2 linked regions of the Astyanax mexicanus genome follow. The protein of the gene in region 1 interacts with the protein of each later gene in a pairwise test. Links are inferred from orthologs where the notes say so. Each region holds a gene or a part of one and is shown in the gene's direction. Other genes may lie near its edges. The genes, in order: apoa1b and apoc1.

What was found.
Region 2: the proteins of apoa1b (region 1) and apoc1 interact in a two-hybrid assay, tested with the Homo sapiens proteins (2 studies listed by BioGRID, with this or other methods). The link is inferred for Astyanax mexicanus from reciprocal best matches to the Homo sapiens genes APOA1 and APOC1.

What each region holds. Positions count from the first base shown.
Region 1 is NC_064411.1:43,928,722-43,941,160, reverse strand, and holds apoa1b (apolipoprotein A-Ib), read left to right. Parts: upstream 1-7,213; 5' UTR 7,214-7,278; intron 7,279-7,850; 5' UTR 7,851-7,857; coding exon 7,858-7,900; intron 7,901-8,029; coding exon 8,030-8,174; intron 8,175-8,267; coding exon 8,268-8,862; 3' UTR 8,863-9,220; downstream 9,221-12,439. Other genes in the region: T-box transcription factor TBX1, read left to right, coding at 12,056-12,077, 12,156-12,321. UniProt on the Homo sapiens protein: Participates in the reverse transport of cholesterol from tissues to the liver for excretion by promoting cholesterol efflux from tissues and by acting as a cofactor for the lecithin cholesterol acyltransferase (LCAT).
Region 2 is NC_064413.1:3,264,091-3,277,263, forward strand, and holds the start of apoc1 (apolipoprotein C-I), read left to right. Parts: upstream 1-7,502; 5' UTR 7,503-7,661; intron 7,662-9,004; 5' UTR 9,005-9,018; coding exon 9,019-9,073; intron 9,074-10,249; coding exon 10,250-10,388; intron 10,389-13,173. UniProt on the Homo sapiens protein: Inhibitor of lipoprotein binding to the low density lipoprotein (LDL) receptor, LDL receptor-related protein, and very low density lipoprotein (VLDL) receptor.

The sequences.
Region 1 (12,439 bases):
AGGTTTGGCAGATTAGTATGCAAAATATTAATGGTGTACCTAATTTTGTGGATGAGATGAAGTATTGATATATCTTCATAAGTCACTGCAAATTCTCCTGCTGAATTAAAGTTTAGTGATCTACCTCTTTTAATGGGCTAAAATGCTAATGACTATGGTAACACAGCTAAACGCTCCTACACTGCCTTCTTAGTAAGCTAGTGTGGGCAGTAAGGCTTTGGGTTTCAGACAAAGTTCCTCAGAGTATCTGCAGCAGTTCCCTTTCTGTTTCACTGAGTATGTTTTGTGAATATTTAAGAATAAGTAGCTTTGACACTTTTATTTAAACTGCATGATACATAATCAAACTGAGACGCAGCCTTTACTGATCCAGTGTTCCAACTGTTGAGATTTGCCGTGTGAGAAAGGTAAATTTCCTTTACAAACTGTTTATTATATTCACTTAGAGAAGTATATCTGCTGTGTCCCAGTGTCTTTGGTCCATCACTGCAGAAAGAAGCAGGGAGAAGTTGAGAATAGATAAAAAAATAAATAAAAAAAAAAGACTACGCACAATGTAATTTTATTTCTAAGCATCATGATTTTAAAACCTTTTTTTCTCCTTTCTATTCAAGAAGGCAGTTTATACTGCTCTGTCTTTTATACATATTTAAGCTCTGTTCTGATTGGCTGCACTGTGTCTTAATGGGCGGGGCTAAACTGTGATGTAATAGCGGATATGTTGGTATTTGGAAGTTTGTAGTTTTGGAACATTCTAAACTTATTTTGCAGTCTAATTAATTAAACATGACAATTTGATGCAGTAACCACATAAAAACTCTTCTGGGAAGGCTTTACTTAAGATACTGCTTACAAACATTGCTGCATGGATTTTATAGCTTTCAGCCATAAGAGCAAAAGTGAGGTCCACTACTGATGATGTATGATTTACATCCAACTTTTACCCCTCCAGTCTCCACAACAGCTCCTCCAGAGTGTAGCTGTAACAGTGTTTCCATACACAGTAATACATTCAATTTTAATACATTCTGGAACAAAAATGTGAAGATTTATCCTCTGTCCAGAAGTGTGTGTCCCAACCGTCCTGTCATTTGACCTGCAGTCTGAAGTCCAGCTTCACCATTAGCTGGAACAGACGTTCTTGGAGGTTAATTTAAGTTAAAATTTTATGCAGGATTTTTTTTTTTTTTGCATTTTGCTAACATGCTGTGTATGATTTTTTTTTTTTTTTTTTTTGCGACTCACCATTCTGAAAAATCTCAAAACGCATCTTAAAGCTAATTCACACATCAGATAATTTTACAGAGCTTTTAAAAACACGGACAAATCTTTGCTTTGCTGGTTCCTTACTTAGATATGTTTTTTTTTCAATGCCAATAAGTTGAGAACTGATCATTTAATATTTTTTTAATATCTTAATATTTCTTTTTTTGCATGGTCATTTTTACCATTATGTAATGCAGCATTTGCATGGGGACTTTGCTGAGTATCTGTGTCAAAGGGACAGTTCGATTAAGGCCGTTGCAAAGTTCTCTTAAATCAGTTCAAGCGTGGGCGTTTGTTTAAAAAAACGTTTAGTGGCTTTAGGGTAGCTGGACATCATGAACTGCCAAGCTAAATATTAGCATTGAAAACCTCTAAGTCCACCAAGAATCCAGTGAATGGAACATCATGTTTAAACAGAACGACAGCAATTCCAGCCATTTTCATTGAAATATCCATGCAACACTGAATTAAAATGAATGTGAAAGAAACACATGCCAAATATATACCAATGTATATATATATATTTAATCAACTAATCTATTGACAATAATTTTGTATGAAATCTTGTTCTGTTCTCGGTGTGTCGTTGTGTAGGTGGTGGACCATGGTCTCTTGTTTTGCGCCATAGTTTCTCTCTATTCCTCCGCCCACGGGTCACGTGACATCCATGATTGGCACCCACACATCACCTTCCAAAAACCTAATCTAACCCTGCAAAGATGCTTTCAAAGTGACTTTTGCTCTACTTTTTCCATGCTATTGTAGTTTATACAAGTGTGCTCCAATGTGCTCCTCTTGTGTCGGGTTATAAGGTGCACTATTAACTTAGCTAGTTTAGTTAATAGTGGACCTTATAACCCGATGCGCTCTATACTGCGAAAAATAGGGTATTGCTAAACTCCTTTGCTGTTTTGACGGCGCAAGTGTAAGACTCAAAAATAGACTGTTGACTTGGTGTATGGTAACAAAGAGCATGGTGAAGTGCCTTGCGCAGGGTGCAGGCTAAGCTAAGTAAACAAAGTTGTAATAAAAAATGACCTTCTTTTAAAGTCAAACGAGCACTGGATGTTAATCTACACAGATATCTCTCCTGAAAACTGTTTATTTGGGTCAGTAAAGCGCATTTGTTTATTTACAGTAAGCTTGGATTACCGGATTCAACAGCACTAAGGCTGGAGCATTAGAATTAGCGGCTAAACGCTAACCTGACAGTGGAAAACACAGGTGCGCCACTTACTGAAACAAACCTAGACTATAGTTTAACTGTCAAGATTTCACTCCTATAGGTGCGCCAGCACCCGTACACCCTCGCTTTTTAAACAAACACACACACAGACACGCTAACCTGACTTTTAACTCAACAATAAACAGAATATAAAATAACAAAATAATATAATAAAATAACATTGCTAACCCTAAGTGTTTTACATTTAAATGTTAGGCCAGCCCAGTTCTGTACCCTCTTGGTCTGCAGTCATTTCTTTTTTGTAATGTGTGCAGCATGTGGCTTTGCATTGTTTTGTTAAAAAAATGCCTGGAAGTCTCTAACAAAGATGTCACCTTGAAGCAGTGCTAGATGTAGTTTGATATGGGGAGTCCTTAGATTTCAAGCTGAAACTTTATTATGCTCCTTTATCCTGTTTTCAATGTTTAAGACCACCATTTTCCTTAGGTATTTAGGAGATATTGGGGAAATGTACTGCAACCAGTACTGAATGTACTGTCTTTAACCCTGAATAATGACTGAATAATCCTATTATAACACAGTGCAATTAGCACCAATAAAAACAGCAGGGCAGTTGTTTAAAAGAAGAAACTGATACTAGTTCTAATATTTATTCTCAGTGATGACATTGGTGTCTAACTGAGATAATGCCAGACCAAAGGTTTGTTTTATCAGTCCTCCAGTAGAATACTGTCCACACTACATTCAGTTCTACACTTAGATTAGCATGTTGTACGCTCTTAAATGTTTGGCAAATGCAATTTTTACATTGGTAAATGAACATAACTACAAATCCCTTTAGAAAAAAAAAATTCTGATAGCTCTTAAGACACATTTGGGGGTTATTGTTTATATAAAGAATATCAATAAAAAAAAGCCATATATAGTTTTTTTATTATCAAAAAGCATTTTTGCATGAAAGTGCATTTCAACAGTAGCGTCCAAAGCTTATCATATGACTATACTCTATATGGGTCATGACCTACTTTAGACCCGTAACAAAATATGATACTTTTAAATTAATAACTTTTTAAATAATTTTTATACTCTATATGGATCATGACCTACTTTACACCCATAACAAAATATGATACTTTTAAATTAATAATTTTTATGTACATCTAAAAGCAAATACTTTTGTGCTTTTACTCGAGTGGAGGTCTAAAGGAGGACTTCTACTTTTACTTTGTGTGTCTCTGCTTTAACTCAAGAACATGGGTTGGGTACCTTATCCATAGCTGGAAAAAAGAAAGCTGTACAAAAAACACTAAATAAATAAATAAAATAATTTAAAAAATTAAGATATTCCCGTTATCTAGATATTTAAATTGTAAACTGAGCCTTTGATCATTATAAAGGCACGAATAAAAGAATTAAAGTAATAAAACGAATGGTGGAGATTAAATGTCAAGAAAATAAGTAACAGTTATCCAAACACCCTGTTTTAACTCTAGACATATAAACGTACAAATATATACGTATAAATAAGGAAAGTAAAGGATGCATGATATTTTACTGTATCTTACTGTAATTACAGAGATAACAACTACAAGATCAACTCAACCTTCACCACTATCATTTAACTGATCTGACAAATGGGGCCAATTGGCCAGTCGTCTCCTGATCCACGCTGAGTTAAAGGAGTGAACAGAGCTATTGACACTGTGTTTAGAAATGCGCTCAGCAGGGAGCCGGTGTTTTACTGGCAGGAAGAATGGAAAATGAAAGGTTGCGGGTGAATTGTGGAGGGGATTAAGGAGAGGGGGTGTGAGCCTGGTTATAAAAGTCGTGTGAAGTGAAGAGAAAGTTTGGGGATTTGGGACACTGTAATCAAGTGCAGAGCCATCTCAGGATCAGCGAGGAGGGAGGGAACTCATTTGCAATTGAAAGCTAATGCTTTGTTACAGCGGACGGCCTGTCTTTGAGAAACATTCCCGTATACAGTACAAGCTTGATTATCTATCAGGAGAGAGAAAATGTTCTAAACTTTATTTAAATTCAAGTCATTTTAGAGTATTTTTATCTCTTCAGCATGAAATCACAGGTTGAATATTTAAGGAGCAAGGATGGGTTGAGAATCTTCAGTTTGCCAGTATTACTAAAATGTCATTATACCCTCTGACAGCACTGCACCAAGAACCTGTATTCAACAATAGCTGATAGATAAACATTGGTAGGACTTCCTTTGGCAAATATTTCTCAAACACTACAATGGAGTTACATCCACAAATGACACTTACAACTTTATGTTTATGCCACTGCAAGCCTTATGTTAACCATGTTCAGAAGAGGCATCAACTTCTCTGGTCACAAAAGTATCCAGATAGACCATTACACAGTGGACATGAGTACTGTGGTTTGATGAATCATTATTCCAGATCATTTTTAACTAAATGGACTATCCGGACTTAATTTGAGTGTAAGTACACTTCTGCGATTAACTATGGCAGAAAATTACATTGAGATTTTGCAGTTACATACGCTGCAACATCTTTTCCATGTGCACCCATGCATTTCTCAAGAAGTCCTGCAGTCCTGACCTGTCCCCAATAGAGAATGCGTGGAGAATTTAAAAACAGAAAATAACAATGACAGCCATGTGCTATTGCACACCTTATGTGTTTGGGAGAAGATAGGGAAAAAATAATAACTAAAACACTTTGCTTGGTATCCTCAACTCTAAAAACATGAACTGAATCTAGAAGGCTAAAGTACAAGGACAGTGTTTGAAATTGATTAGCAGTATTGAAGCAGGGATGAGCGGTTAAGTAATGGTCTGACGTTTGACTTTGCACTTTTTTTCTGCACTTTTGAACTTATATTCTTACATACGTGTGACACTATGTTCAGGGGTCCAAATGGATTTAAAACGGATGGACTGGTTCCATATTTGTCCTATATATTAATAGTCAACTGCAGTTCTGCTGACTCAGACGTCATACTCCCACATAGGCAGAGCATTTTGGATAGTGTCCCTGGAGTCCATCTTAAATTCCATGAATTTGCTCTGCTGATTTTCTCTTTGCTTTTGTAGGTTAATGATTAAGCATAGAGTTCATCAGGAAGGCTGAAAAAGTGCATTGATACATTTTCTGCTAATTTCTGTCCTAATTCCAGTAGATTGAATGCTAATGTTATAGAAAGCTTCTAATTGCTGATAGGATTTTAGCTTCTACATGCATCCAGGCTACAAGGTGTGATCTCAGGGTTATAAAGTTTAATTTTTTTTTAGTATGTTAAAAATACAACTAAGAAATAAACCTTTCCATCATGCCTTAAAATCCCTTTACTGTGTAAAAACCAGTACGTATATCTTCAAAATTGCATTAAATCTGTAGTGACAGACAAAGTCCACACACACACTGGACAGCTCAACTGACCCTTTAACCCATTTGTCATTTTGCCACAGCATGCAGAGCAGTCTGGCAGCTTTTTCTAATGCAGCGATATGGTAACAGAGTGTACCATGAAGATTACGACACTGCTTTATGGTGCGGGTCTGTACCCAATGCCCTTTCAGAACCTTATCAGAGAACCCAGGAGAGCGCTGGATCTTTTACCCTGATAAAGAAAAGACAGAGGGATAAAAAAAAAACAAATGAAAGAAGGAGATTCCCCTCTAATGCCACTGATTTGATCATTGAATTTTACTGCAGTAGATGTGTTTGCATTTTTTTTTTATCAGTTTACTCAATGCTCCCACTCAAGACTAATGGCCTGCCTGTTCACGGCCATGCAAATTTACAAGCTTGTGTGCACAGATTTTGTTGGGAACATAAAGTTCTGGTTATTTAAATTTTATTTGCAATCATAATGAGTTAGAAATGAACATATAAAATTATGAAATAAAAGGCAATAAGATAATTTAATCAATATTTTAAAGTATGTTCTAAATATAAAATATAAAAAACTAAACAATGCACTGTAAGGGTATGTGCATTGAGATTGGATTGGAGATACAAGATATTTTAGATGTTAACTTAATTAAGGTGATTTAAGTCATTTTCAAGTAATTTCAAGTCATTTCTTCAAATGATTCCAACCTGTAAAGAACAGGTTTAACATTCTAAACCATTTGACCCAATTATCTGCAACATAATTTGATTTATTTAACTTTCACACTCAAAAAGCATTAAAAATGTGCTTTTTTCATGCTAAAGTTAATTTTTTTTAAAAGTATCCAATTTTTACCAAGCTGGAGGATAGATATATATAATTATAGAAATAATGGTTCTCCACTGCCACAAGCATTGAACCCCCTTTATGGCCTTATGCCTTTACTACAATGAAAACAGAGCAAACTATATAGGTTCTAATCGAGTTACAGAAGTGTGCAATGGTCATTTAAAGAATATTATATTATCTGTATAAGCGACAGATGAGTAAATAGTACAATGGATCAAAAAGTTCTAAAAGGAAGTATGCACAAATAGTATGTTTTTGAATGATGCAAAACCTTTTTAAGTCAATATTCTACCAAGTGTTTACACAAATACACAAAAACATGTTCACGTTCTTATCTGCACGAAAAACGTCCAAAAAGCAGAAGAAACTGAACATAAACATCTCCACAGCACTTTTGTGCTTCTATCGATGACAACCTCCCCCTCTACTCAGTAGGTGACCATTGTACCCAACTCGTCCAGTGAATCAGAGAGGGGGTGAGGTCCAACTCCACAGAGGCAAACTCACTCCCCACAGTGTTCCCTCCCACTCCCCGGGGCCCTATAAAACATCCATCTCCACCTCAGGCTCATCAGTCTCTCCAAGACCAGCATCATCAACAGGTAAGCAGCTGAGCCAAGGGAACCGGCACTTTTTCACTGGACAGCCACGGCTGAAGAGTTGAAGATTTTACGCACTGAAAACTTATATATTGTATAGAGGCAGTTGTTGTAGGACATTGTACTTTTTAAGTTTTAGTTTTTATACTTGAGTTGTTTAAAAGACAATTCTAATTTGTGAAAGACTGGCTAAAATCACAATTTAGAACAACATTTACATTTTTCCCAATAGCATTTTAATTCTTTGCAAAGGCCTCCTAAAGAGTCACCCCAGGATAGGGACAAATCCTCCCTGGCTGTCCAAGAGTAATCTTGGGGATTGAAGATTATCCCATGGTTAAGAGCTAATCTGGTAGTGAAGCCTTTGTAACTCCATGCAGCTCTGTTATATCCAGTCTGGATTAGAGTGTAGGTTGATAGGCTTGACATATGCTGTAGACTGAACTCATTCAGGACGGCTTGAGAGTTTCTCTAGTTTCATCAGGCTTTAGGTAATAATTGTCAAAGATGTGTTGTTGCTCTTCAAAGCTCTTTAAAAGATGCTGACCTGCAATATTTGTTGCTTCTCTTCACAGATCCATCATGAGGTTCGTGGCTCTAGCACTGACCATTCTTCTGGCCGCAGGTAAAAAATGTTCCAATTTGCCAACACTGATAATAAAAGGTTTAAACAATACCTAGTCCAGTATGTCTGTTCCAGCAGCATGTTCAAAATCTTTAGTCTAAATTCGTCCTCCTCTTCCTGCTTGTTCAGGTTGCCAGGCCCGCTACATGCAGGCAGATGCACCAACTGACTATGAACAGATTAGGTCTGCAGTTGTGACATACCTGGGTCAGGTGAAGGAGACAGCTCAGAAAGCCATCGACCGTCTTGATGATGGTGACTACAAGGAAGTCAAGTAAGAGATTAAGCTTATTTTTCCAGGCCTACTCATTTATTACTCTAAAGACTAACAGTAACTATAAGATCTTTGTTCTTGTCTTCTTCACAGGGAGCGCCTCACCCTGTCCCTGCAAAGGATCCAAGGCTACCTTGAGGCTGCTTCTACCTCCCTTGCTCCAGTCAGAGAGACCATCGGTCCCCAAGTAGTGGAAGGCGTCATTGCTCTCCGCGCCAAGGTTGAGAAAGATGTTGAGGATCTGCGCAAAGAGCTGGAGCCCAAGCGCGAGGAGCTGCGCCAGGTGGTGAAGAAACACCTCGATGAGTACCGTGAGAAGCTGGAGCCCCTGATCAAGGAGTTCACAGAAAAACACCGTGAGCAGATGGAGCAGCTCCGCGTCAAGATGGAGCCCGTGATGAAGGATCTGCAGGAAAGGATCAAGACCAACCTGGAGGAGACCAAGTCCAAGCTGACCCCCATCGTGGAGGTCCTGCGTAGCAAGGCAACCGAGCGCGTGGAAGAGCTGAGGCAGTTTGTCGCCCCCTACGTCCAGGAGTACAGAGACCACGCACAAAGCGTCTTCGGACAGCTGCAGTCCAAGTACGAATCTGGAGAGCTGCAAAAGAAGCTGGCCACCGTGGGAGAAGAGATCAAGCCCCAGCTGGAGAAGATTGTGGAAACCCTCCAAAAGGCCTTCATGGCATAAACCTTCTTATCCTACACCTCTCCCACCAAATCACAGCCTCTTTCAACCCTTTCCTACATTTCCAAACCCTGTTACTAACACCAAGTCTGTAAGGCTTTATCATACAAAAGGACTCTTTCCATCACACACTTACTTACTCACACCACGCGCTGATGCAGCAAAGGACTTTTACTGCCTGTCTTACAATTGGCCAAGCTTTTGATGACACTTAAAGCAAACACATGCTTAAGTATATGCAAGACCTGTTTTTGTGCAACATTCTTTAACGCCTGGCTAAAAAATACCTTTCGCTGTGCTTCTGTGTTGTTAAAAAGTGTGCCAAAACAATGGCTCAATAAAAATAGACTGTTTCATACAACTTCCTTTTGTGTCTTAAGTGTTTTTTTAAGGTGTCCTTCAGCTTTGGCTCTCATCAATACATTAAACATTAGCAGAGCAGTTTAACATTATTTATTAGGCATACGGTGGTACATAAAATGTGTGAATTAAGGGTTATTTGGACATAAAATCATATTTTCTCTAGCTGTAAAACTGCAAAATCAAAATGACAGAATCTTTGGTTTTAGACATGGATCATTTGTTTGGTTATTTTGCCCCATTAATGACAAGAAAGCTCATAAACTTTCTCTAGCTCCGTTAATTCTACATAAATTTACTACTACTACTTTAATATGATAATACAAATATCTTTAAAAAACAGTTTCCAATTAAAACAGCCTTTACATTCAACAGAATAAAGTAATGCATAATTATTCAGAGAGAATGGGACGTACAAGACTTTGTAGACCAACAAAACTGTCCCCAGTGCATATTCACTTTCATTACTCCTCAAGATGTGCTAAACAAACTATTATTAAACACACACACACAAAATAGTTTCTGCATTAAGACTAAGAATATGACAATTGAACACTACTTCAAAACACTATTGTCAAAAAACTGTCAACTAAAGACTTTTACTACAACTGGGTTTGACAGTCCTTTTTTGTGTCAAATCTATTTAAAATATAAACTCCTTTATTATGTCCCAGGTTACTACTGTTAGCATTATCCCAGGTTAGCATTGCTAATCGATACCAGTTGACAACAGTATCAACCAAACACTATTCAAGCAATTCCACAGATAGAAGCTGGACAGTGTTGTGTGTACGACTGATTTAATGACACGCAAATAGATAGAAGTGACAGTAAACAGTATAATACTATTCATTTAAAATATTGGTGAGCCTCTCTTAACTTTTTTAAATATGAAATCTAACTTGTGGGGCATTTGAATTAAAATTTTCTACCTGAAGATCTCGACATCAGGTCAAATGTAAAGCAGCACAATAACTTAATGATAAATATAGGGATCAATTGGTTATTGTCCATTATCCTGTTGATTAAAAAATTGGAAAAAAATAAAATAAAAAGAAACAGAAAACAGAAACAGAAAATTTACACTAGGACCTATGAAATGCGTTTGTTGGAGACTAATGGGTTTTATTAGGATAATAAATCACCTGGAACAGATCCTGACCTGATGTTTGGTAGAGATCTTGTACTTATTAGTATTAGATGGATGAGACAACTTCATGAACTGCCTCAGGCAAAGTCTTGCCAACACCACCCTATAATCTTTTTATCCATGAACATTAGGCAAGGAGATCCATAAGCACATCTTGATCCTTAAAAACATGAGGTCAATGAATGATATGCAGGAGACGCTGTTTTTAAACCCTGTCAGTGTTTGACACAGATCAGCCAAAATATTAAGCCTCATGTTATGTTCAACTTTAGGAAACAGCATTCATTTCTTATAAATTATTTTTAGCTTAATTAATGTAAACCTAATTAATATTTTGTATAATCAAAGTGTTCAGCCTTATATATAACGGTTCACCTATGATAATCCACAATAAATCACAATGAATAAATACATAAAGAGATCAGAGATGGACGGAAATTACAATGTTTATCCAAAACTGAATACCGAAGTGAATACCATTTTTCACAGGTTTTCATTAATTCTACCTCTTTTTTCACCATTGAACAAAATTAAATAGCTATTTAATTGTATTTTTATGTTATTTTGTCTCAAACAAAATGCACGTTCAAAGCTCCAGTTTAAAAATATGTATTAAACACTTAAAACCTTACCAAAAAAGCACAACACATTTACCTCAGCAGTGCTATTCTAGTCATTCATTTATTTCAGTCATGCTGTTTTAGTCACACAATTAGCTAGCTAGCTAGCTACCCTAGCTAACCCAGCAGCGCCATTTTAATCATAAATATACTTAAGCAGCGCAATTTTATCTATAAATGTACCATTGACATGCCATAGAAAAGCTTGTCTAGTCCCTGTAAAAGTATTACCAACAGAATAGGTTTAAAACCCACTGGAAATTAGCTAAATTAACTGTGTTTTCTGGAATAATGGTGGGTGCTCTATCCAAAACTCTTGCTGCTGAATGTAATAATTAAATTACATATAACCTTACAGAAATCCTTCTCTCAAAATCTAGTAAAAGCCTTCCCAGGACAGTAGAGACAGTTGCTCCAACAAAAACAGGATACACTCTTAACTATTAAAAACCCTTGATTTTGGAAGAACCAAAGAATAAGCAATTATTAGCCAATCCATTTTAGCCGTCTGACAGGCCCTTCAGGCTTAGAAGTGATCCATTTATTTAGCACTGAGCTGAGGGCAGAGTTGAAAGTGGGGAGTTATTGAAGAACCACATCCACAGTGTCCACCAGGGGTCAGAGGGCGACTTCTTTGTTTCCTAGTTCTACTTTTCCATACAGGATACTTGTGCTAAAAATCCAATTAGCTGTGTGTTGAACACTGCAAACGGACCACAGGGACTTATTATTGATTGTCGCGAAGACACAGATGCACTGATGGTCTTCTGTCTTCAGTCAATAATATATACATGTAATTAAGCAGTACTTGGTCTTGATGGAGCGTATGATCTTGGTTTCTGAGGTTATGTGCAAAAGGAATGAATGAGTGTTGAGTAGAGGCCTAATTAGCATCTCACAGTGTATAAAAACCAGAAGGAGAGCTCAGTTCAGCTAGGACATTCTTAGACAGTGCCACCTAAAGCCGCTCTCCATTCCTTTTCTTACAAGGAAATTTGAATGTGGATATTCTCAAAGAGATTGGACTTAACTGAGTAACTGAATCAAACCACAGCAGCAGAGAAGGATGGATGGAACCTCACTGGATGGTAAAGCTGATTTTACCTTTGTTCTTTGTTTTGCTGACCATAAATGTGTAATCTAATGCTCATTCTGTCTATCTTCAGTCTCTAAGCTACCACAGGCCTGCACCATGGGCTTGCCTTGCCTTCCTGAAGACACCTGTGCCAAAGCCCCTCAGGTAGCGGGCATCAAAGTTCAGCTGGAGACATTTGGCCTGTGGCAGCAGTTTGATCAGCTTGGAACTGAGATGATAGTCACCAAAGCTGGAAGGTTTGTATGACTCATTTTTTCCAGAGCTGTAGACTCACTGCAACATTAAGAGACCACTTCAGTTGCTATTTATAGGTTTATGTTTGAGTAAAATGAACATTGATGTTTTATTCTAAAA
Region 2 (13,173 bases), on another chromosome or scaffold:
TCACAACTTCAAACAAACCTGTGTTAACTGACTTTGGCACCACAATGTGCCAAAATTAATTATTTTAACTTAACTGCAACACATGCAATGTGACTTTAAACCAGTAGATGACTCCCTCTCCTCCTCTCTCCTAATCCCACTCATCTTTACAATCAGCTTGTCAAATCTTGTAAAAGTGTACTGGGGTATTGCGAAAGCATACAGCTGTACACTGATAAATCAGCCTTTGGGGGTGTTTTTTTTCTGGAGGAAAATTTTTTATAGTAGGAGATAAAGTTACAATTTCTTAAGATAAGCTTATTTATGCTCCCTTAGGAATCAATAACGTATCACCCTCTACATATCTGCGGCTACATCTCAAATCCCCACATTCTACTGTATTGCATGTTATGCATAAATGCACACCTAATGACTAAGTACTTTGTACTATTTTTGACCTATTTTTTATTATTATTTAAAAGCATATGGCAGAAAAACAGTGTAAAAGTAGTAAAGCCAAAATTACAAAGAAAGAAAGATGAGAGACAAGTTGAAGTGATACTGCATTCGTTTCGAGATCTTTTCCTGGAAGCCTATGTTGAAATCATGCCCGATTTTCCAGTAACAAAAACAAAAGTCCCTTCTTACGGTGGAGCTGCAGGGGTCAGCTGTTTTGCTGGAGGGATAAACATTAAAAAACGCAAACATTCTGCAAGTCAGCAATTCCAATTCAAACAACCAACTTCATCTGCGCTTCAGCTCACAGGTGCTGGGACCAACGACCTCCAGTAACCTGCTGAGATTCCAGTGCGCCTCCAAGCGTCCACTGAATCATCACACAGGACTGGGTGATACTGACAAAAAAATATATAAAATTGTGATTATATTTGCAACGTAATAAATTATAAATCCATATCATAAAACATTGTGACAGTATAAAAAATGCAAATAAAAACAAAGGGCCCAATTGTAGTTTCACAAGGTGTGTTGTGATGCTCTTTGCTACCTTACACCTCATCAACAATCTATTTTTTACGACTTGCCCCCGAACTGTTAAAATAGCATTAGAGTTTAGGAAGTGAGGTGTGTTCAGCTAAAGTTCTGGCGTGTTGCTATCTTGGCAGTGGAAAACACAGGTTCTCCAATGACTAAAGTGAGAGAAGGCTTTTAACTCAACAATAAACAGAATTAAGAATAAAATAACATTGCTGTTCCCTTAAATAAATGAGCTGCTGGTGTATCCTCTACTGAGACGCAAAAAGTGCCGGACTGTTACGATACGAATGTGCCAAAGTCAGAGCTCACTTGGCTCTTAAAGGGAATGACTACTGGCAAACTGATTGGTTTATTTCATGTTACGCCCAAAATTAAACACACCCATGATTCATTAAGAGAATTAGAGCATGGCTTTTGTGCGTTTTAAGCTACACAACGTGTAATTTTGCAAACGTACGATACCAAAGACACACCGACATGCACTAAATCAAGCTGCATAATGCGCAATGATGATCAGTAAGTTATAGATTGCTAAAAAGGGTCCCATTATATATTCAAACTTCACTTCCTTTGTTAATATACATCCATTCCTGCATTTTAAAAAGCTGAGTCTTTGAAAAGCAAAGTTGGGCAAAGGTTCTCAACATCCACTTTCGTATGGGTCTTTGCTATTTAAATGACACAGGCACAAGGATTAAAAAAAAAATGTTGACTGTTGGTGGAGTGTAAGATAGCAATGAGCATCACAATGTGCCTTGCACATAGTATAAAATGGGGCCCATGATGCCTTCTAGATAACATATTTTCCAAGGATGTCCATACACATGGACTGGCTAGTTCACAGTCCTGACCTGAATATGGACAAAAAAAAAAAAATGCAACAACGACGCCCCCTACTGTTGGCACAGCACAAAATAATCCCTAAAACACTCCATCGCTTTGGGTTCGCTTTCTTCTCCCAGGCACAAGAGCACGTGTCCTAACCCGACGCTTGTTTTTTTTATAAAGGAGCCTTTCTTTAGTTGTTTACCTGCATGACTGACATTTGGTGCATGTCCTGACCCGCAGCTTCATGCTCCACACAACATAGAAAAAAAACTCAGCATGATTTATGATTTATCTGTCTCTGTATCTCTGTCTTTCCTTTCAATCTGTCTGACAAGCACACACACACACATCACATCCACACCACAGTGTGGACAACACACTTTGTTAGGATATTGTACAGCAGGGAAAAAATAGGTGAAATAATCATGTAAATTACTGGAATAAAAAAAGATGAAAAACATTACACAAGTCTGTAAATACACACACATTAAACCTTCCATAACTCTGCCCAAAAGCATGTTCATCAGACAAACACTACTGTTAGCCTTATTTATTTGTGTTAATGATTAATCACTCAATGATTAAATTGGTGAAGTGATAATCTCATCAGGCCAATGCGCAGCCATTTCTTTGGAAAAAATGCACTATTGCTCTGGAAAAAATAAGAGACCACTTAAAAATGATGAGTTTACCAAATTGAAAACCTCTGGAATATAATCAAGAGGAAGATGGATGATCACAAACCATCAAACCAAGCTGAACTGCTTTTGAATTTTTGCACCAGTAGTAAAAGCATAAAATTATCCAAAAGCAGTGTGTAAGACTGGTGGAGGAGAACATGATTCCAAGATGCATGAAAACTGTCATTAAAAAACAGGGATATTCCACCAAATATTGTTTTCTCTTAAAACTTTATGAATATAAACTTTTTTTTTTTTTTTTTTGCATTATTTGAGGTCTGAAAGCTCTGCATCTTTTTTGTTATTTCAGACATTTCTCATTTTCTGCAAACAAATGCTCTAAATGAGAAGATTTTTATTAGGAATTTGGGAGAAATGTTGTCTGTAGTTTATAGAATAAAACAACAATGTTCATTTTATTCAAACGTAAACCTATAAATAGCAAAAGCAGAGAAACGGATTTATGAACTGAAGTGGTCTCTTATTTTTTTTCCAGAGCTGTATTGCTTTACTACTACTATTACTTTTAGTACTACATAACATTTAATTTAATTCATAACAACTTATCTCCTGTACTTTAAAATAAGGTTAAATTGTTAACTAAAGCTAATGAAGTTTATTATACATTTTTTGTTGAGTTTGCATCAAATTTAACTGAATGATTGTGTATTTTTTGTCTGCAAAAAAAAAAAAGTGACCCTGGCATCAGGCAGTTTATATAATTCTACTTTTAAAAATACTGTTGGTGTAATGACTTTCTCTGGTTTAGCTTTTACAAGGCTAAACGTTTCTGCAGAACAGAGTATCTCACACATCATCGCTCTGATTGAGTTTACAGTTTTATTATGCAGGAATGTCTCTTTAATATGACTAGTGATTCCAAACTTCTTTACCCAAAAGTTTAAAGTGATGGGTAAAGACATGCATACATGCAACAACTTGTGTTACACATTCATATGAAAAGCCCAAAGACAAAGAAAAAGTGAGAAAAAGCTCACAAGAGCTAATCCCCTAATGGTGCGAGCCATCAAACACGCCATCCAATGGCTCCAGATTAAAAGCTTCTAATAGTGCCGTTCGTTCCCCTCGGGCCTCAGGTCTTTTCATATTCACGACCAGAGGTAACTGCAGTTCACTGCCTCCCTGCATGACTCCCTCATCAACAATGTCCTCATTTGCACGGAGTCTCACTTCCCTTCCTGCTCTGAGTCTAGACGCCGCAGAGACCTTTTTCAGCACTTTTTCTCAAATCAGGCCAAACAACAGGCCTGACGAGATCAAGGCCTTTTAATAGACTCGGCATGGTCCGAACGTGTGACTCATGATTCCAAAACACCAGGGCAGAGAGAACTTAGTGAAGCAGAAAACACAGTAAAGAGAATTAGGGCCGTTATTGTCAGGAACACAACAGTTGTGCTGGGAATCGTGTCGGTTAGAAACACTTTTCTTGGCATAACTAGTAAATTTCACATACAGTACATAAAGTAAAGTATCTGCAGACACAAGCCTGTCAGGATAATTACTCTATATCTACTTATCATACAATAAATGGACATGACCTCAATTATATTTGATAATCTTGATATTGTCTATTATATGAACTAGGGCTGCAACTAATGATTATTTTGGTTGTCACCTAATCTGATTATTATTTTTCGATTAGTCGATTAGTTAACGATTATTTCTGCCATGTCTTCCATCTCTTAAAAAAAACAAACAAAAAAAAAAAAAAACAGCTGAACATGAGATTTAAAAGGCATTTAAATGTCTACATGTTGTTTAAATGTGGACAGTACTGATGTTTAGTGAGTAAATATGTAATCTATTGTGTTTGGGCACTTTTGGAGAAAAAGACTAAGTTGAGTACAACCTATATAATATATTGTATTTCTCACATTTTTTTAAACCATCTGAACCTCACGGTTGATCTTCGAAATATAAGATTTTTACACAGACTTTAATTAAAAGTTAAGTAATGTTCTTTTTCTATTATAAAATAGATTTTTTTGCTAATGAGGCATTTAAATATATTTTCTTAACTCTCACTATAATACTTAATATAAATTCCAAGAATCTGAACTATATGTCTCTGTAGGTCTCCTATAAGGTGTATTTCCTGGTGCATAATTAAGTGATCTAAATATGTTAATTTAATGTGTTTTTTAAATAAGATTGCAAAAATAGCAATCTTATTTTAAACCTGTAGTTGATCTTTCCTGATGAATGGCACAATAAAAACACACCAAATGAATGACTATGAAAAAATGTGGTTAATACTGACATCCATTTAAAATTTAGAAGGATGATTTTGTTGAATCATCTCCATTATCTCTCTAGATATTAAAATGTGAATCTACCAAGAATCTGGAACTAAATTTATTTTATATATGTAAATAAATAACAGCAGTGGAATTAAATCGAAAGCTTGATGTTATCTTTGGATGAAAGTTCAGAAACAACAAGCTAAAACTAAATTGGCACCACCATGTTGTAAAATGTAATCATCATTGCTGATGTAATGTAATGCTGTTGCCTCAGAACACTAAATAAATTTAAAAGAAACACATCCACCGCTTCCCTGACTACAGAGTGACTGTTATTTCACTTATTCACAAACTGAAGCAGAGAATATAATATCATATTCATCAAGTTTACTTAACACACATAAGCCTTGATGTCTCAGCACTTTAACAAATCAGGGCATTTTGTTGCACTCCTCCGTATTACTCGGGGATATCACTGCACAGGTTTACATAATTCTATACAGATAAACAAACAGCTAATCAATACCAGCTGATAAACCCTCTATCTGTCTCTATAATGATCACAGAGAGTGTTTTATCATGACCTTATCAGCAAAATACTTTACAACTGACCAGTGATGTAACCAAATGTAGGGCTGCAGTGCATTTGGCCCAAGTTAAAATAAGTTTAAGATTTTTGCAATGTTATTTGTAGTGGTGTCGATCGAAAAAAAAAAATACATCACATTAATCACAATAGACTTCTGTGATTAATTAGGAATAATCACATTCTTTCTTTCTGAAGACTAAGCTTTCGATAATGGGTATTTAAATGTGAATAAAATAATTAGTGTTAAAAATTGTCATTATATCGCTTAAGAAATAATTGTAATAATCCCAACAATAGCCTGGATAAAATCGGGATTACATTTTTTTAAATGTAAGGTACTTTAACTATATTTTTGGGAGGGGTACAAAAATAACGGTGTAGTGCAAATGCTTTTTTTTATATATTATAATTTCAGGGTAGATTTCCTATATTATAATATCTCAGGATAGGTTTACTGTATTATAATATCTCAGGATAGATTTACTGTATTATAATATCTCAGGATAGATTTACTGTATTATAATATCTCAGGATAGATTTACTGTATTATAATATCTCAGGATAGATTTACTGTATTATAATATCTCAGGGTAGATTTACTGTATTATAATATCTCAGGATAGATTTACTGTATTATAATATCTCAGGGTAGATTTACTGTATTATAATATCTCAGGATAGATTTACTGTATTATAATATCTCAGGGTAGATTTACTGTATTATAATATCTCAGGATAGATTTACTGTATTATAATATCTCAGGGTAGATTTACTGTATTATAATATCTCAGGATAGATTTACTGTATTATAATATCTCAGGGTAGATTTACTGTATTATAATATCTCAGGATAGATTTACTGTATTATAATATCTCAGGGTAGATTTACTGTATTATAATATCTCAGGATAGATTTACTGTATTATAATATCTCAGGGTAGATTTACTGTATTATAATATCTCAGGATAGATTTACTGTATTATAATATCTCAGGGTAGATTTACTGTATTATAATATCTCAGGATAGATTTACTGTATTATAATATCTCAGGGTAGATTTACTGTATTATAATATCTCAGGATAGATTTACTGTATTATAATATCTCAGGATAGATTTACTGTATTATAATATCTCAGGGTAGATTTACTGTATTATAATATCTCAGGATAGATTTACTGTATTATAATATCTCAGGATAGATTTACTGTATTATAATATCTCAGGGTAGATTTACTGTATTATAATATCTCAGGATAGATTTACTGTATTATAATATCTCAGGGTAGATTTACTGTATTATAATATCTCAGGATAGATTTACTGTATTATAATATCTCAGGGTAGATTTACTGTATTATAATATCTCAGGATAGATTTACTGTATTATAATATCTCAGGATAGATTTACTACATAATAATACCTCAGAGTCGATTTAATGCTTTTTAAGCTAGATTATTGTAATGAGTTGAATTACTGAGCTTAACTGAGAGTTTAAATGAAGTAAATTAACGCTAGTGTAGCTCCATATTCCACACCTTTAACAGCTTGAAAAAAGGGAACATGCCATCAGCTGTGTGTGTGTGTGTTGCAACATTTGACTAACACTCATATACTATAAAACTACCAATAGGCCTCTATATATGTCCTAATTTGACTTGAAAAACAGAGGACTTTCAGCAAAGTAAAACTGAGAAGAGGGGTTTAATAGGATGTTATGTTGTCTAAGGTAAGTCCTAGTTTGGCCAGTTATTTTTCTTCCAAAGTGGGGATCGAAGGTTGCAAGGTCCAGGTAATTTTTTGATGATATTGATTATTTAGGTCTTTGCGATTCTGATAACGAGTGGACTTCATACTACTCCATGCACCAACATGCAAGCAGGCACATATCACATTCGCTGGGTATGTGGCAGAGATATGAGTCTCAAAGGTTAGCAGCACTACACACGTATGTCCTGTACATCACGTTAATACACTTTTTAATCAGAAATAGTGAACGTAAGTAAACCTGTAAACCTATAAACCTCTAAATTACTAAAGTCTTCTCCACAAAAAAAATGCTTATGTAAGGGGCTTATGCAAATGGAAACACATACACAAAAATACATAACAAAAACACCCCCCTCCCCTCCAAAAGACAGAAGTTCAATGGGCTGGATGGCATAACAAAAACTGCGTAAGCTTTACGGGAGGCCTTGATGGGTCAGAGGTGGTGTGTTTTGTGATGACGTCAGCAGGAGGAGGTTGTTAGCTCACTATATAGGGCCAAGCAGTCTGCCTGTCTTTATGCTCTAACTTCTCTTTCTGGAAGAGGACGAAACAGGTACATCTATAGCTACTGCATTCTCTAACAACATAGGGGTCTGCTTTTATTATCTAGCCACTTCTATTGTTTAGGAGTTTTTTTTTTTGGATAGAAATTGCATAACTACAGTGTCTCTCTCACTGAGTAAAATGAATAGAGAAATTTCTGCATCTTTAAAGGGTCTGTGGGAGATTAACTAACATATAAGAGAAAATAACATATATCAAACATTTCAAATTCTTGTTAGTATTAATTAAAAAGTTAAGAAGTTCAGTTCAGTGACATTCATCCAGGAAGATATATTTTAAAACTACATTTAAAAATCGAAAAAAAAAAAAAAACGTAAATTTAAAAATTAAACGTTAATGCAAATCTAATATCAAGGATGAAAACAACAAAATTACAGCAAATCACAGTTTTTGTCTTATTTATAATATTTAAAACTACAGTATCTGTGTAATGTTTAACAGGTTAAATTATAGCTACTGTATTCTCTAAAAAATAGGGGTTTGTTTTTATTATGTAGCTTCTTCTCTTGTTTATGCTTTTTTTTCTGTAAAAACTGCATTAGTACAATTACTACAATGCTAATAATGCATATATATTTTTATTTTTTTTGCAAGGCTGTATTTTGGCAACATCTAGGAGTCAGTTTTACACCTTTTCTGTGTGAGGTTTAAGAGGAGAAACAGTTTAAAACAATTAGCTAGCTAATTAGCTACATATGCATTAGCTAGCTAGCTAGAGTTATACCCAAAGATAAAAATATACAACTAAAAAATATTTTTAAATTTGTACAATATAAGTTAGTTTTAAAATGTTATTTAACATTTAGAATGAGAGAGGAAAGGAAGCTAGATAAACACATGTTAAATAACATTTTAAAACGATATTGTACGTCTTTAAAATACTCCTTAGTTGTGTATTTTTATCTAGCTATATGAGTTAACCCTTGCTAGCTAGCTAATGTAGCTAACTAGCGTTACTTATGTAGCTAATTAGCTAGCTAGCTAGGATTATATAAGGTTAGATAAAAATACACAACTAAGGATTCTTTAAAATTTGTATAATACTGTTTTAAAATGTTATTTAACAAGTGGATTGAAAAAAGGAAACAGGATAAAACCAATGTAAAAACTATGGCTTTGTTTTTTATGCTAGCTAATTACGTTAGCTAGTTAGTAGTTAGCTTAGCTAGCTAACTTTATATTATTAACTTCAGGTCTAAAAATGCTTATTTAAGCCTAAATGTGTTACTTTTCGAGGATATTTCATGTCTCTGTAATGCCCTTTAGCTCTGTAATACCTCATTTGTGTATAATAACTAAATATATGTGGATATTTTTCTCTCTTTTTTTCAGTAAAACCAGCAAACATGAGACTGTACCTCGCCATTGCCGCTCTGGTGCTCGTGCTGGCTGCGCACGCAGGTAAGAATCACTGAGTCACTCGAATCACGAATCGTTCGAGCGAATCGATTCCTTGTTTGATAACAAGCTGAACTGACGCTTCAGATGAATTTTACTTAACTAATATTACTTTTTTAGTTTTTAGCAACAGCCTAAGATTATTAAATACATAAGACATAGATATATACGTTTAAAAGTACTATATAAATAATATAACATTTAAAAATAAAATAATATTAGTAAAATCAATTAGTAAAATATGTTCACTTCTGAATATTGGTATAAAATTCAAAATTAAATATGTAAATATGATCAATTCAGTGTGCAGCTCATTAATGTTTATTTTTCTTTACTGTGGGCACATGACTTTAAATATTTTAAGGCTAAAAACAACAATTATTAGATACATGGAACCTAAAACATTTATTTAATGTAGCAACTAAAGTGTATATATTTTTAAATAATACATCTAGTTTAGCTATTTGTTGTCCATCCTCCAGCATTAATCCATGTAACCTACTAACCCATATATTCTGGGCTCCATGAGATAAAATGATGGACAAAATGCTGTAGGAAACTTTCTACATATTTTAAATGGTCTTTTAAAATGTGCTCTTTTGGGAAATTACCCATTTTAAACTTTAAACCATTTAAAAAGAAAAAAAATGAGTAAAATTATTTAATTATGAAGGTTAAGATGTTCATCAGAATGTGGACATTCTCACAGGAAGATAACAGAGTTAAATAGTATTTCAGGTAATTTAATTAGTCAATAAATTTAAGCTTTGAAAAAACAAAAATAACAACAAATTACTTTTTTAGTTTTTTGTCTTTAAGTATATTTATATTATTTAAAACCACAGTACATGTTTAATATTTAAGGGCCATTTAGCTGATTTTTTATTATTTAAAATCTGCGTAAATCAGTGGTTGAGACATGATCAAAGTCATTTGTTGTAAAATAAGCAATTATAACAAACTTTTCCAACTCAAATTGGAAATGGTCATTTTAGTCCAAATTATATAATACAAAACTCTCTTAACTTAGTGAATAAGTCATTAGCCATTACATACAGTAACACACATGCATGTAATGTAATTTATTTATATGCCGTAACCTTTAGCATGCTTACAGAACACATTGTGTTGCACTAAAATCATTCTAAACAAGTTTATGAACCTTTTCTCTCTGCACAGAGGCCCAGGAGGAGCCCACAATAGAGCAGCACTTCGCCAACTTCCACACAAAAGTCAAGGAATTCGGATCAGATGTGGCTGAGAAGACCATGGCCACCATCAAGGAGATTGAGCAGAGCGAGTTCGCCGCCAAGACCAAGTAATGCAATACGCAGATAAACACAAAATACACTTAACACTTTTAAAAATAACTTTCTTGTATATGTACTTATACAAATACAGTTTTACAAGTAAAATGATTTTTGGTAGATAATAATTTAGAAAGATAAAAAAATAAAATTTCATGCATCAAGCCACAGAAGCCTCCTAAATAAAATTGTTCAGAGTTTTGGTGGTTTATAAATATTTGGACATTTGGGTGTTAAATTAAACTATTAAATTATTATTCTGTGCCAATTAAATATGATTATTTATTGTAAACTTAGAATTCAATAATATTACATTAAAACATAGGTACATTTATAGTTACAGTGTAACAATGCATGGACAAGTGAATTAAATTGATACAAGAATACATAAAATAAATACTATGATACAATCAATTTTAATATATCAGTACTTCTAGGACCCCTTGTGGCCACTTATGGCAAGAATCTGACTATAAATTATAATAATAATAATAAAACTAGAAAAGGCAAAGTTCGTGAACGAACTTTAAGTTGGCTTGGAAAAGTACGCTAATAACGTTGAAAAGTTAAAATGGTTGCTAAGTGGTTGCTAGGTAGTTGTGATCATTACTAAAGTGGTTGCTAAGCGTTTGCTAGGCAGTTGCTAACGTTTTCCAGGTGGTTGCTTAGGTGTTGCTAAGCAGTTGCTAGGCAGTTGCTAACGTATTCCACACGGTTGCTAAGCAGTTGCTAACGTTTTCCAAGTGGTGGCTAAAGTATAGCTAACTGGTTGCTAGGCAGTTGCTATCATTTCTAAAGTGGTTGCTAAGCAGTTGCTAGGCAGTTGCTAACATATTCCACATGGTTGCCAAGTGGTTGCTAGGCAGTTGCTAACATTTTCCAGGTGGCTGATAAGATGTTGTTAAGTGGTTGCTAGGCAGTTGCTATAATTTCTAAAGTGGTTGCTAGGCAGTTGCTATAATTTCTAAAGTGGTTGCTAGGCAGTTGCTAACGTTTTCCTAGTGGTTGCTAAGGTGTTGCTAAGTGGTTGCTAGGCAGTTGCTATCATTACTAAAGTGGTTGCTAAGTGGTTGCTAGGCAGTTGCTAACGTTTTCCTAGTGGTTGCTAAGGTGTTGCTAAGTGGTTGCTAGGCAGTTGCTATCGGTTCTAAAGTGGTTGCTAAGCAGTTGCTAGGCAGTTGCTAACATATTCCACATGGTTGCTAAGTGGTTGCTAGGCAGTTGCTAACATTTTCCAGGTGGTTGCTAAGATGTTGTTAAGTGGTTGCTAGGCAGTTGCTATAATTTCTAAAGTGGTTGCTAGGCAGTTTCTAACATTTGCCTAGTGGTTGCTAAGGTGTTGCTAAGTGGTTGCTAGGCAGTTGCTAACGTTTTCCTAGTGGTTGCTAAGGTGTTGCTAAGTGGTTGCTAGGCAGTTGCTATCATTTCTAAAGTGGTTGCTAAGTGGTTGATAGGCAGTTGCTAACGTTTTCCAAGTGGTTGCTAAGGTGTAGCTAACTGGTTGCTAGGCAGTTGCTATAATTTCTAAAGTGGTTGCTAGGCAGTTGCTAACGTTTTCCTAGTGGTTGCTAAGGTGTTGCTAAGTGGTTGCTAGGCAGTTGCTATCGGTTCTAAAGTGGTTGCTAAGCAGTTGCTAGGCAGTTGCTAACATATTCCACATGGTTGCTAAGTGGTTGCTAGGCAGTTGCTAACATTTTCCAGGTGGTTGCTAAGATGTTGTTAAGTGGTTGCTAGGCAGTTGCTATAATTTCTAAAGTGTTTGCTAGGCAGTTTCTAACGTTTCCCTAGTGGTTGCTAAGGTGTTGCTAAGTGGTTGCTAGGCAGTTGCTATCATTACTTATGTGGTTGCTAAGCAGTTGCTAACGTTTTCCTAGTGGTTGCTAAGGTGTTGCTAAGTGGTTGCTAGGCAGTTGCTATCATTACTAAAGTGGTTGCTAAGTGGTTGCAAGGCAGTTACTAACGTTTTCCTAGTGGTTGCTAAGGTGTTGCTAAGTGGTTGCTAGGCAGTTGCTAATGTTTTCCTAGTGGTTGCTAAGGTGTTGCTAAGTGGTTGCTAGGTAGTTGCTATCATTTCTAAAGTGGTTGCTAAGTGGTTGCTAGGCAGTTGCTAACGTTTTCCAAGTGGTTGCTAAGGTGTAGCTAACTGGTTGCTAGGCAGTTGCTATCATTTCTAAAGTGGTTGCTAAGTGGTTGCTAGGCAGTTGCTAACGTTTTCCAAGTGGTTGCTAAGGTGTAGCTAACTGGTTGCTAGGCAGTTGCTATCATTTTTAAAGTAGTTGCTAGGCAGTTGCCAACACATTCCACATAGTTGCTAAGTGGTTGCTAGACAGTTTGCTATCATTTCTAAAGTGGTTGCTAAGCGGTTGCTAGGCAGTTGCTAACCTTTTCCAGGTGGTTGCTAAGGTGTAGCTAACTGGTTGCTAGGCAGTTGCCAACACATTCCACATAGTTGCTAAGTGGTTGCTAGACAGTTTGCTATCATTTCTAAAGTGGTTGCTAAGCGGTTGCTAGGCAGTTGCTAACCTTTTCCAGGTGGTTGCTAAGGTGTTGCTAACTGGTTGCTAGGCAGTTGCCATCATTTCTAAAGTGGTTGCTAAATGGTTGCTAGGCAGTTGCTAACATTTTCCAGGTGGTTGCTAAGGTGTAGCTAACTGGTTGCTAGGCAGCTGCTATTATTTTTAAAGTAGTTGCTAGGCAGTTGCTAACGTATTCCACATGGTTGCTAAGTGGTTGCTAGACAGTTGCTATCATTTCTAAAGTGGTTGCTAAGTGGTTGCTAGGCAGTTGCTAACGTTT